Linked DNA regions of Daphnia pulex. The protein of the gene in region 1 purifies or fractionates together with the protein of each later gene. This does not show direct contact. Links are inferred from orthologs where the notes say so. Each region holds a gene or a part of one and is shown in the gene's direction. Other genes may lie near its edges.

The links.
Region 2: the proteins of zinc/cadmium resistance protein-like (region 1) and protein-L-histidine N-pros-methyltransferase-like purify together in Homo sapiens (co-immunoprecipitation; 3 studies listed by BioGRID and IntAct, with this or other methods). This does not show direct contact. The link is inferred for Daphnia pulex from reciprocal best matches to the Homo sapiens genes SLC30A1 and METTL9.
Region 3: the proteins of zinc/cadmium resistance protein-like (region 1) and xyloside xylosyltransferase 1-like purify together in Homo sapiens (co-immunoprecipitation; 3 studies listed by BioGRID and IntAct, with this or other methods). This does not show direct contact. The link is inferred for Daphnia pulex from reciprocal best matches to the Homo sapiens genes SLC30A1 and XXYLT1.

The regions. Positions count from the first base shown.
Region 1 is NC_060026.1:1,535,414-1,537,848, forward strand, and holds the end of zinc/cadmium resistance protein-like, read left to right. Parts: coding exon 1-30; intron 31-121; coding exon 122-284; intron 285-356; coding exon 357-459; intron 460-528; coding exon 529-630; intron 631-1,027; coding exon 1,028-1,252; 3' UTR 1,253-1,804; downstream 1,805-2,435. Other genes in the region: uncharacterized protein LOC124204766, read right to left, coding at 2,155-2,284, 2,397-2,435. UniProt on the Homo sapiens protein: Zinc ion:proton antiporter that could function at the plasma membrane mediating zinc efflux from cells against its electrochemical gradient protecting them from intracellular zinc accumulation and toxicity.
Region 2 is NC_060019.1:9,214,835-9,218,952, reverse strand, and holds the start of protein-L-histidine N-pros-methyltransferase-like, read left to right. Parts: upstream 1-1,222; 5' UTR 1,223-1,462; coding exon 1,463-1,780; intron 1,781-3,705; coding exon 3,706-3,899; intron 3,900-4,118. UniProt on the Homo sapiens protein: Protein-histidine N-methyltransferase that specifically catalyzes 1-methylhistidine (pros-methylhistidine) methylation of target proteins.
Region 3 is NC_060021.1:8,468,062-8,471,356, reverse strand, and holds xyloside xylosyltransferase 1-like, read left to right. Parts: upstream 1-1,303; 5' UTR 1,304-1,367; coding exon 1,368-1,862; intron 1,863-1,921; coding exon 1,922-2,605; 3' UTR 2,606-2,701; downstream 2,702-3,295. Other genes in the region: WD repeat-containing protein WRAP73-like, read right to left, coding at 2,716-2,930, 2,988-3,176, 3,243-3,295. UniProt on the Homo sapiens protein: Alpha-1,3-xylosyltransferase, which elongates the O-linked xylose-glucose disaccharide attached to EGF-like repeats in the extracellular domain of target proteins by catalyzing the addition of the second xylose.

The DNA.
Region 1 (2,435 bases):
GCCTGATTATGTGGTCCACTTGGCCATTGTGTAAGTGGGAAAAGAACAAAATCAATACTTTTACGCCATTGTTTGCCGTTCACATTATCATAATTTATGTTTCGTGTTATTCTTGGCGCAGTGCACGAGTCTGCCTTGATTCTACTGCAAACCGTCCCGACTCACATCCAGTTGGACGACATTCAGCGCAAATTGCTTAGCCAAGTTGAAGGAGTTTTGGCAGTCCACGAATTTCACGTCTGGCAGCTGGCAGGAGATCGGATTATCGCTTCAGCTCACATTCGGTACGTGCTTTCCTTACATAATTCAATTGTGTCACTGTTTCATCCGTTGAGTTTGTTCAAATGTAATAAAAGGTGCCGCAATCTGTCGGACTATATGAAAATCGCCGAGAGGGTCAAAGAATTTTTCCACAATGAAGGAATTCACTCGACTACCATCCAGCCAGAATTCACTGAAGTATTTTGTTTTTAAACCTTTAATCAAAAAAGAGAAGTTAATTTTTAAAACATTTCATTGATTTATTAGCTTCCTGGAGACGAAAGTGCCAGCGAGACAGAGAGTTGCGCATTGGATTGCCCAGCCAAAGAGACGTGCGAAGCCAACACTTGCTGCGGTCCATCCAAACAGGTAAAGGGCGTCGGTCAACAAAACCCGACCCTTGGTGACGGAATTATAGTTCTCGAGGATGTAGGTAGTCACATTTAGTTTTGAGTTTGATTGCTTTATGACACTGCTATGCTCTTGCCACACATTAAAAGTGCACATTACTCCTACCTACCTGCCCCAACATTCTACACGAATCGCTTTTTTTTCTTTGGCCAACTTTTGATTATTTTCTAAATGCCCTTCTTCGTATTAATAAAAATTGTTTTTTCTTTAATTTCTTTCTTCTCCCTATTATTATTTACCTTTTTTTCTTGCATGCCGAAAACACCTCAACTGGAATGGCGATTCGCTTTTCACTAAATTTAATTTTGATCAAGCGGAATAATATTTGAGCTTTTTTCTGTGTTGGAACTTGGAGGGTCGAGAGACTGAACAGTTACTGGAAATCACTGCCAACGATTGCCGTCAGCGTTCGACAGCCAACGGACTGGCCAACCGGATCGTGGCGCCCAATCCATTGCCAAGAGCGGATGAAAGCGGAGCGGACGAGTTGATGCTGGCCAATTCGTGCTGCGCCGAGCAAGAAGCGGCGGCTCATTCACGTTTACTTCATGACGTCAATTCCATTGCAATCAAGTCCTGATTTTTATTCAACAGAATCCAGCCATCCTTTTTTGGTTTTATCACAAGTTTGACTGAAACAAACTTGACAAAAGTGGAAAATTTTTTATAAACAAAAGTGCTAAGCGATCCCAACCTAGAATTTTTTTGCGTTTATATTCGGTTGATAATTGTTTGTTTTTTAAAAACAGATTTGCTCCATCCAAAAAATGAATTTTGATGGTGTCATGTTCCTCTCAAAATACGCGTCGAGTCTCTCAATCCTCGACGTGTGTGTCACTTTTTTTTTTTTTTTGAAATTGTGTACAAACAAACTGCCGGCCTTTGTTGCCGTATTGTCTGTGTTGACTCGAGTAGTTTTTTTCTTTTTTGTTGTTTGTTTTGTTTCACTCTTTTTTATCGTCTCGTTCTCCGTCGAAACAAAATTTTGCTTAATCCAATCACTTTTGAGTGTGGCCTGAAATTGTTTTGTCCTTCTTCTTCTTGTCTATAAACTTTCAATGTCGTCCCCTCACACAATCTTTTTTTATCTTGTATTTGTGACATTGATATATAATGCAATTAGACATTCAAATGGGGGATGATTTCGAAGCGATAGGAGGAGAAAAACACAATTTTCGGATGATATTTTTAAAAGTTGAATGGCGGCAAGATTATACGACAACGGCGGGAGAATTCAAAAGGAAGCTCACACACACGAATACCAAAACAAGCGGAAAAAAGAAACAGTAAGAATTTTGTTTTCTTGAAAAATTAATTGATGAAAAAGTTGAGTATATTTTTATTTAAAAAAAAAATCTTGTTAAGATTGATGAGCTTATGTTTCTTATATTCAATTACAGAAACGTTTTGATGGTTGACTGGATTTGAAATCATTTGTTATTATTATTTTTAGCCTCATCAACAGTTGGATTGTGTGTTTTGTTAAACTGGCGTTCCGACTCGATTCTGTGGAACGTCGCTCGGTCCGGGAGTCTCTTGAAGCGGAACGCATTCCTCGCCGTCGTCAGCACCGCCTTTACCACTTTCGACCTTTTGACCGCCCAATTTCCTGCTTTTGTTTGGAGGGGGGAATGTTTTATTTGTCGTGACTCTTTTGCTTTTTATTAGCTCATTCTATTACTTTTAGTGGCTTTTATAGCCAGCCATTTATTTAGTCAAATTACCTGTTGCGTCGTCGACAATGGATCACTCCCGCCAAGACG
Region 2 (4,118 bases), on another chromosome or scaffold:
GTGTGTGTGTGTGTCTGTCTTTTTCCAACAGCATTCCACCCATTGGGGGGAGAGAGAGACGGTCGGATGGATGGAGAGTCGCGTTCATTAGCTCCTTCATCGTCCGTCCGTCTTCTTGCACGACTGCACCTTTATTCTTTTTCTTTCTTTCTTTCTTCCAGTGTAGTATAGAGGATCGGGGGGGGGGGAAGAAAATAACGAATAATACCAATGTGGGGGGTTCTCCAAGCTAGACACAGTTCAGGAAACCTTTGACCCATAATACGTTGGGTAGCTGGCAGGTATAGATGTGACTGTGTGCTTAGGGACGTGCCATCTACCAATTCCAACAGCTTCTTATTTTTGTAGTTGTTTCATTTTTTTTTCTTTTTTGTTAGCCCCCAAAAGTTTTTATTCTCATGTTCCACTGTGGCCCAGGGTGTGACAAACGACACTGGGATGCAACGGGGCAGCTTCACAAAAACGACCGATTTCTATTTTTCTAGAAGAAAAAAAAAAAGAAAACTTACCCTCCCATCATTCACCAAAATCCTGATGGGGGTTGCTACACTCTCACATACAGTAGAAAATAATAATAATAATAAAAAGGCTAAGAAATCTTTCCCCTCTTCTTGTCATAACGATGCACAATAGATTTTGTGGTCACAGGTATATATATGAAGGAAATGTTAGACCTTATAGGGGCTTATATTTTTGTGTGCGTAATACATATATACTATGCATACGTCGGATGTGCATGGAAGAGAAAAAAAAAATCTTTCCCCCCCCGTTTTTCGTTGGCCACATGTATTATGTATGCACCGGAATTCAAAAATGGCAGTAGACAGTCTACTTTGTTTTTGTTCTCATCGTACGGTGTTGTATCCTCCTCACTATACTATACTCGAGGTTATTTATGGTTCAGCATTTTGTTTGTGGTACAACAGGACGTTAAACATATTGAAGATCCGCTTGGGATCACAAGACTATTCGGAGAATGTCTCTTTAGTTTCGCGTGTCTGCTGGCGAGTCGTGTCTGATTTTGTTGCCGGCAGTTGTTTCGCATCATTCCCGCGTGCATTAAATGTCATTTTCTTTTATGAATGAAAATGGCAGGAGAAAAAATCGCGAGGTTCAATTGATGCATCGCAATTTCGTTGCAAGCATTTTCGTTTCTTTTCTCTGCAGAGTGCAGAGAATAAATCACGATCGAGCCCGCCCGCCAAGTTGCTGTTTAGCCCTCACCTTTTTCATCGATCACGTTGACGTCGTCTGCTGCAGCCCACATTTTTATGAAAAAGAACGACAAGAGCTCGAGATTTTTTGAATGCTTTCGTTAAAAAGCATATGCTGTTGTTATTTATGCTGTCTAGGCTCAGCCCACTCTCGTTGCATTGAAAGTCACACTATAATCAAGCGGAAAAAGTAGTCGCACGGCATCTTAATATTTCCACATCAAGCATCAATTAGATCGTCCGTTTTGATGAGAAAGTTTCCCATGCCCTGCTTGTTGTGGCACGCATGTGAACTCGTTAATTATCGACTGAAGCCCACCACGCAGTTTCTTTGCTGCCTGCTTCTGTGCCTCAGTGCAACAGCCACAATGCCTGGCTCAGCGGGCAGGATGGATAGTGTTTCGATCCATTCCAGAACAGTTGATTCCTGTGATACTGCTGGCTGCCAAGAGTGTCTTCCGGCAACAACACCCACATCCAGGCCTTACTTCAGGTCAGCTCTAACCCGTTCTGTCTATTCCAAGATCCTGGTGGACGAAGAGTTCAAGAAATTCGACAGGACCAAGGTAAATCCCACACACACACACTTATATCCCAGCCCATCGTCATTCAGGTAACTCCCACATCTGCAAGGTGACGAGTCATTCACAGCCCTCACATTGATGAGAAACACTTGGTTGCTGTGTCTAGTGATGGGGCGGTATCAGTAATGAATCATAAATTAGTCTTACAGCCTAGGCAAACACAATGGCCGTGAATGGCGGTCTCTCGGGGATGTTAACCACATCGGGAAAATGAGGGCGACTCCTCTTAGTCTTAGTCGTCGTCCTTCGTAGTGCTTCTTTCACCGCCCCTGCCGCCCCACCTCACGACGTCGACGTTCCACCACCACCACCTTCTTCCCACTGGGTAGTTTTGCGGTCGGCTTTAATCATGTTTCCAACCTAGCAATTACAAACTCATTATTATCGAAGCTATTTTTCCTTTTTTCTTCGTCTTTCCTTCCCGAATTTCTTCTCTCGAGTCCAATTAAAAATCGTACAATTTCTCTCTCACCCTAAGCTCAATCCCTCCTCCCCCTTTTGTTCGTTGTAGAGACACTTCCGTCGTGCGGGTACCGAAGGAAAGGGTGGATTCAAGGGAATTATAGGTTTCAAATTGGAAGTTAAGAAGAAGAAGCTGGGACCTTGTTTCTTTTTCCGTCCTTGGCCATCTCGTCTATTTTTTCTTCTCCCTTTTCGTTCCCATCGCATTCAATTTATTCTGCCGTGAATGGTAAATTAGCTTCACTTTGGCGTGAAAGAAAAGACTTGTTCTTCTCTCTCTCTCTTCACTGGCACACACACACACACAAGACTTATTGTTTGTTCCCTTCTTTCTCGTTACTTATTCCCTCCTTTCTTTCTCCTTGCGACGACGTTCTTATTCTTTTTTCATTTCATTTACTTGTTCTTCTTCTTCTTCTTTCCTGTTTGAGTGCACAGTCGCCCGGCACTCCCGAACTTGCCGGCTTTAATGGCAGTAATTAGGTAGCGTTTGTTCTCTTAATCAGAGCAACGTTGTTGCTGTTGTCCGCAGGCTTCCCCCCCATCTCCGGCCTCCCGACAATAGCGAAACACCGAAGCAACAGTTTATTTTTTCTTCTTTTATTTACCATTAGAAACCTCTCACGATGTTATTTCATTTTTTAGACGCATTGTTTTCGTCCTCTTCTCTTCTTTTCAATCACTCACCTTAATAATATTTTCCCTCCCCAGTTTCACGGGACTTGGCAGACTACCGTGAAACAATCTCCAATCGAGAGTGGGTGGAACAAAAAAAAAGTAGTATTTTGGACTCTTTGACGTTTTTGACATTTCCTCGGTGAATGGGCGACACATGGCTTGTTCACAGGGCTCGCTCTTTTGGTGTGATTCAATTCCAACATCTTTTTTTGAACTCGGTGCAAATGTCAGTGGACAAGAAAAAGGAGGAGGGCGTCTAGCTGTCAAATAGATTGACACCTCGGTGCCAGCCTAATAGAAAATTCCATACGTGTTACATAATGCCGGGGCGGACTGACAATCGAACACAAAAACGTTGCAGTGTCACAGTGTGTGTGCGTGTGTTTAGGTTTCTTCTTTCTTCTTCTTTTCATTATTTCATCATGTTATATTATTTCGGCAGGTTATTGGCCTTAATGTTAGTTGGCCGGATGACCGCCGATGGTGCGGGTGGCGCTAGCCATCAAGCCGCTGATTTGTTATCGGCTATTACGAGGAAAACACACACACACACACACGCACAGACACGTAATAAGAACTGATAATATAGAGTTTGATTGTTCCGACTATGACGCCGTCGGCCGTGATCGCCCTCACTCGATTTCCTTTGCCCCGGAATGAATGGAAAAAGGCGAAGAGAGAAAAGAAGAATTAGATAAATGACGTACTGTTGTTTTGTTTCTTGTTTTTATTTTTATTTTTTTTGTTTTTTGTTTTTTTTTTCGCAGTGGTATAAGGTGAACGTGGAAGCGTTGGAGCCGGAGGCCGCCGAGTTGTTCCTCCAGCTGGACTGGGCCGACGCCGAGACGCAGGTGTTTTTGGAGCGTTGCCAGGAGCGCTCGGACGCCGTCTTCACTCAACTTTTCCACCTGGTGGCCCGCACGCTTCTCGCTCCTTTCGTCAGCCAAACATCCATTAACGGGTACGTTAAAAGAACTTGTATACCTACCTATTTCTCTATCTTTTTTCTTATTTTGTTTCTCTTTGGCCAAAGAGAGTGTCATGAAAACCCCAAAGGAAATTTTGTTTTTTTTTTTCTCTACAAATGGAAGAACGGACTCTCTCCCCCGTAGCTTTTTCTTCTTCTTCTTCTTCTTCTTGTGTACCGTCGGTGGATGTTGTTGTTGTTGTTGTTTGGGGA
Region 3 (3,295 bases), on another chromosome or scaffold:
AATGTTGGTTTCCACCCGACCGACCCAAATCAGTCTACACATGTAAACTTGAGTAAAATAGTAAAATTCTGTCACCAAAAAATAACTCGGATAACTCAAAACGAGGAGGTGCCGGTGAGGCTTGGTCAACAAATTGTCTTGTTGAACTTTGCTTGAAGTGTTCAAAGTTGAAATATTTTCAAATGTGATGGTTTACCCACAGAAAAAGTTGTGAGGTAAAAAACAAAACAAGCCTGATCTGAAGTCGTACAACAAATGGGATTTTTAGTGAACCCTGACTGAGAAAAACAAAAACGGAGAGAGAAAACAGTTGCAGTCAACAACCGTCTAGCTCAGGAAGAAACGTACTCCGTGACTACTTAACGATTTAAAATCAACCCCACCAAAAATTGTCAAAAAGGAAGAATAGAGATCAATTTTGTCCTACCTTAGTGCCTGGGAAATACAGCCAGGCATCCACAAGTCCATCGCTGAAGAGTTAAATTGCACCAGGATAAGATATAAAGGGTGTCCTCGTGAATACACCCACATTCACATGGGCGTACACGAGGACATTTAAAGAAAGGGGGAAAAGAGAAATCCGTAACTCGATTGACATCGGTAGTTTTGCTAATGCAATGGGATACTGTGTATCTAAATGAAAAAAGAAAATGGGTTACGAATAAATATTGATAGAAACAACAAGTCAGGAAAAGTTGAAAATGAGACACTGGGTAAACCCTAATTATTAATAAATGGGAGAATGAAAGGTGTATACATGTAATACACTGCATTGATGCAGGTAATGCAGCAATGCATGCAATTAAAATATCTAGTAGGTCACAGGTCAATTTTAAATTAAAGGAAATCATTACCCAAGCGATGATCCTGAGATTGTTGCTAATGACAGGTTTAACACCTGCACAAGAAAAACTTGCATATTGTGTGGAACCTTATGATGGCTGGCTCTGGCCTCAAATCTGCAAAAAAGAAAAATGTTAGGTTACAAACTGCTATGCATCGAAATTCGAAAGGGCAATTAAAAATGATAAATGCTAGTCAGGAAAGTTCTCACATTTCACAAATTAATTTGAATTAAACCAGGGTCATAATGATTTTTTATATGATTCACAGATTCACTTGATCTACTGTCCCGACTGCTAATGCACGAATGAATAAGGTTGGCGTGAAATTTTGAAAATAAACCATGGTCTATGAGTACCATGAATAAACTAGTAAAATTTGCAAGTTGGTGCCAAAAAATAACTCGAAAATCAAAATAACATGGCATTAGAGCCACTACAATCATCGTAGGCAATGCTGTTTGTAGGTGGAGCCACCATATTCCTGTGGTTATGTAGGATGGTTGATTTGCTTATTGTGATTCTATGCCCAAATCAATCCATCTATTTCTTTTCCTGCTTGCTACATGTTCTTTTTTAGTTTGCTTGTATTATAACGAAATCGAGAAGAATGTGAGTCGAAGATTTGGGCCCCATTTGTTGGGCTCTAATCTTCGAAACTTGCGCTCAAGTGAAGATATCTCGGGATTGACAGGTGCAGTGCTCAACAATGTCACGCCCTCAGCATCTGTTCAACATGGCGATGAATACCAGAATAACTCTGCCCTTACTTACTACAGTGCCAATACCAAGAATGCCAATGTTTCGTCGACGGAAGCCATTCATCTTGCTGTGATTTTCTGTAATGTTGGACAAAAGGCTGCTCTAAAATGGAATTTCAAAAAAATGACTCGTTCACTCATCAAACTCTGCTCCAAAAACATTGCTTTGCATTTTCATTTGGTAACTGATCCAAGTAGCTGGGAAATAGCCAAAGAGATTATTCATAATGAATCAAAGAAAACTCAAACCAATATCCAAGTAAGATCTTATGTGAACTTTGTTAGAGGTTTTTTTAATGTTGTTTCTTCTCCTTTCAGGTATCAGCCTATTTTATAGACACTTTTGTCAAGCAATTTGTCACTACTGTTCAAGTGCTTCAGCAATATTTTAGTGTTAAGCAAGGGACTTATTACAGTCAAGCACTGTTCTATGTATCTGTGCAACTACCAGATTTGATCCCTTCTGATGTTACCAGACTCATATTTGTGGATGTGGATACAGAGTTCCGGGACAGCGTTGAGAAGCTCAACCAGCAATTTGAATACTTTGATGATCAGCAACTGCTTGGATTAGCCCCTGAATTGTCACCAGTTTATCGCCATATACTCTATGTTTACCGGAATCAACACAAGACTTCATTACTAGGAGAACCTAAAGGAAAAGGCTTTCCTGGCTACAATAGTGGAGTGGTGTTGATGAAATTAGACAAAATGAGGCAGTCTGTCATCTATCAGTCACTCCTCACTAATTCTTCACTAGGTAACTTGACAGACAAGTACAGCTTCAAGGGACATTTGGGTGATCAAGATTTCTACACACTTGTTGCATTGGAATATCCTCAATTATTTTATACACTCCCTTGTAACTGGAATAGGCAATTGTGCCAATGGTGGAAGTCAAAAGGCTATGATGACATATTTGATCAGTTTTATGAATGTAAAGGTTTTATCAGTTTGTATCATGGGAACTGCAACAGTCAAATTCCTGATGCCAATAATTAATTTGCCAATTCATGTCTAGCTTAACACATTTGCTCTCTACTGGTGCCATATATATATATTTCAGAAATTATACAAGATATGCTTTATCTGGTTAAATCTTTTGTTAATGACTATTTTACTTGGCACACACAGCCTACATCTTTACCAGCAATCATCAAATGTTCTCCACTAGCGGTCCAATCTGCACGATCTGCTTTTAGAGCTGAAGCAATTATATTGGTAGGTCGAAGATCCGTAATAGCACTACCCACGGGTGTCCAGGCATAGAAATTACCGTTTCCACAGACGGTAGCCAAACGAGGATCAGTATGGGACCATTTGAAACCTAGATGATATTTCATTTATGTAAAAATTTTTATGGATGAGATAAGAAAGAAAATACTTCTGATCGCGGAGCAATGCACCAGTACACTTTTAAGCGAGAAATAAGGTAATTCCCAAATCCATAATACACGGGGTCGTTGTTGATCGAAGACGGCCAAGTATCGTGCGTCAGAACTAAAGGCCAAAATAAGCTGCCCAACGGAAGATTCGCCTGGTAATGTAAAAGGTCGATCTTCAACGATTTGATCTGAGAAGAAAGAATTTTAAGAATAAGAAACTGAATTGTAGAACAACGTTTTTGAAAAGAACTCACACTTCAGTTGGTCTTCAGACTCGCAGTAAATAACGCAGGTGCTTTCGCGAATC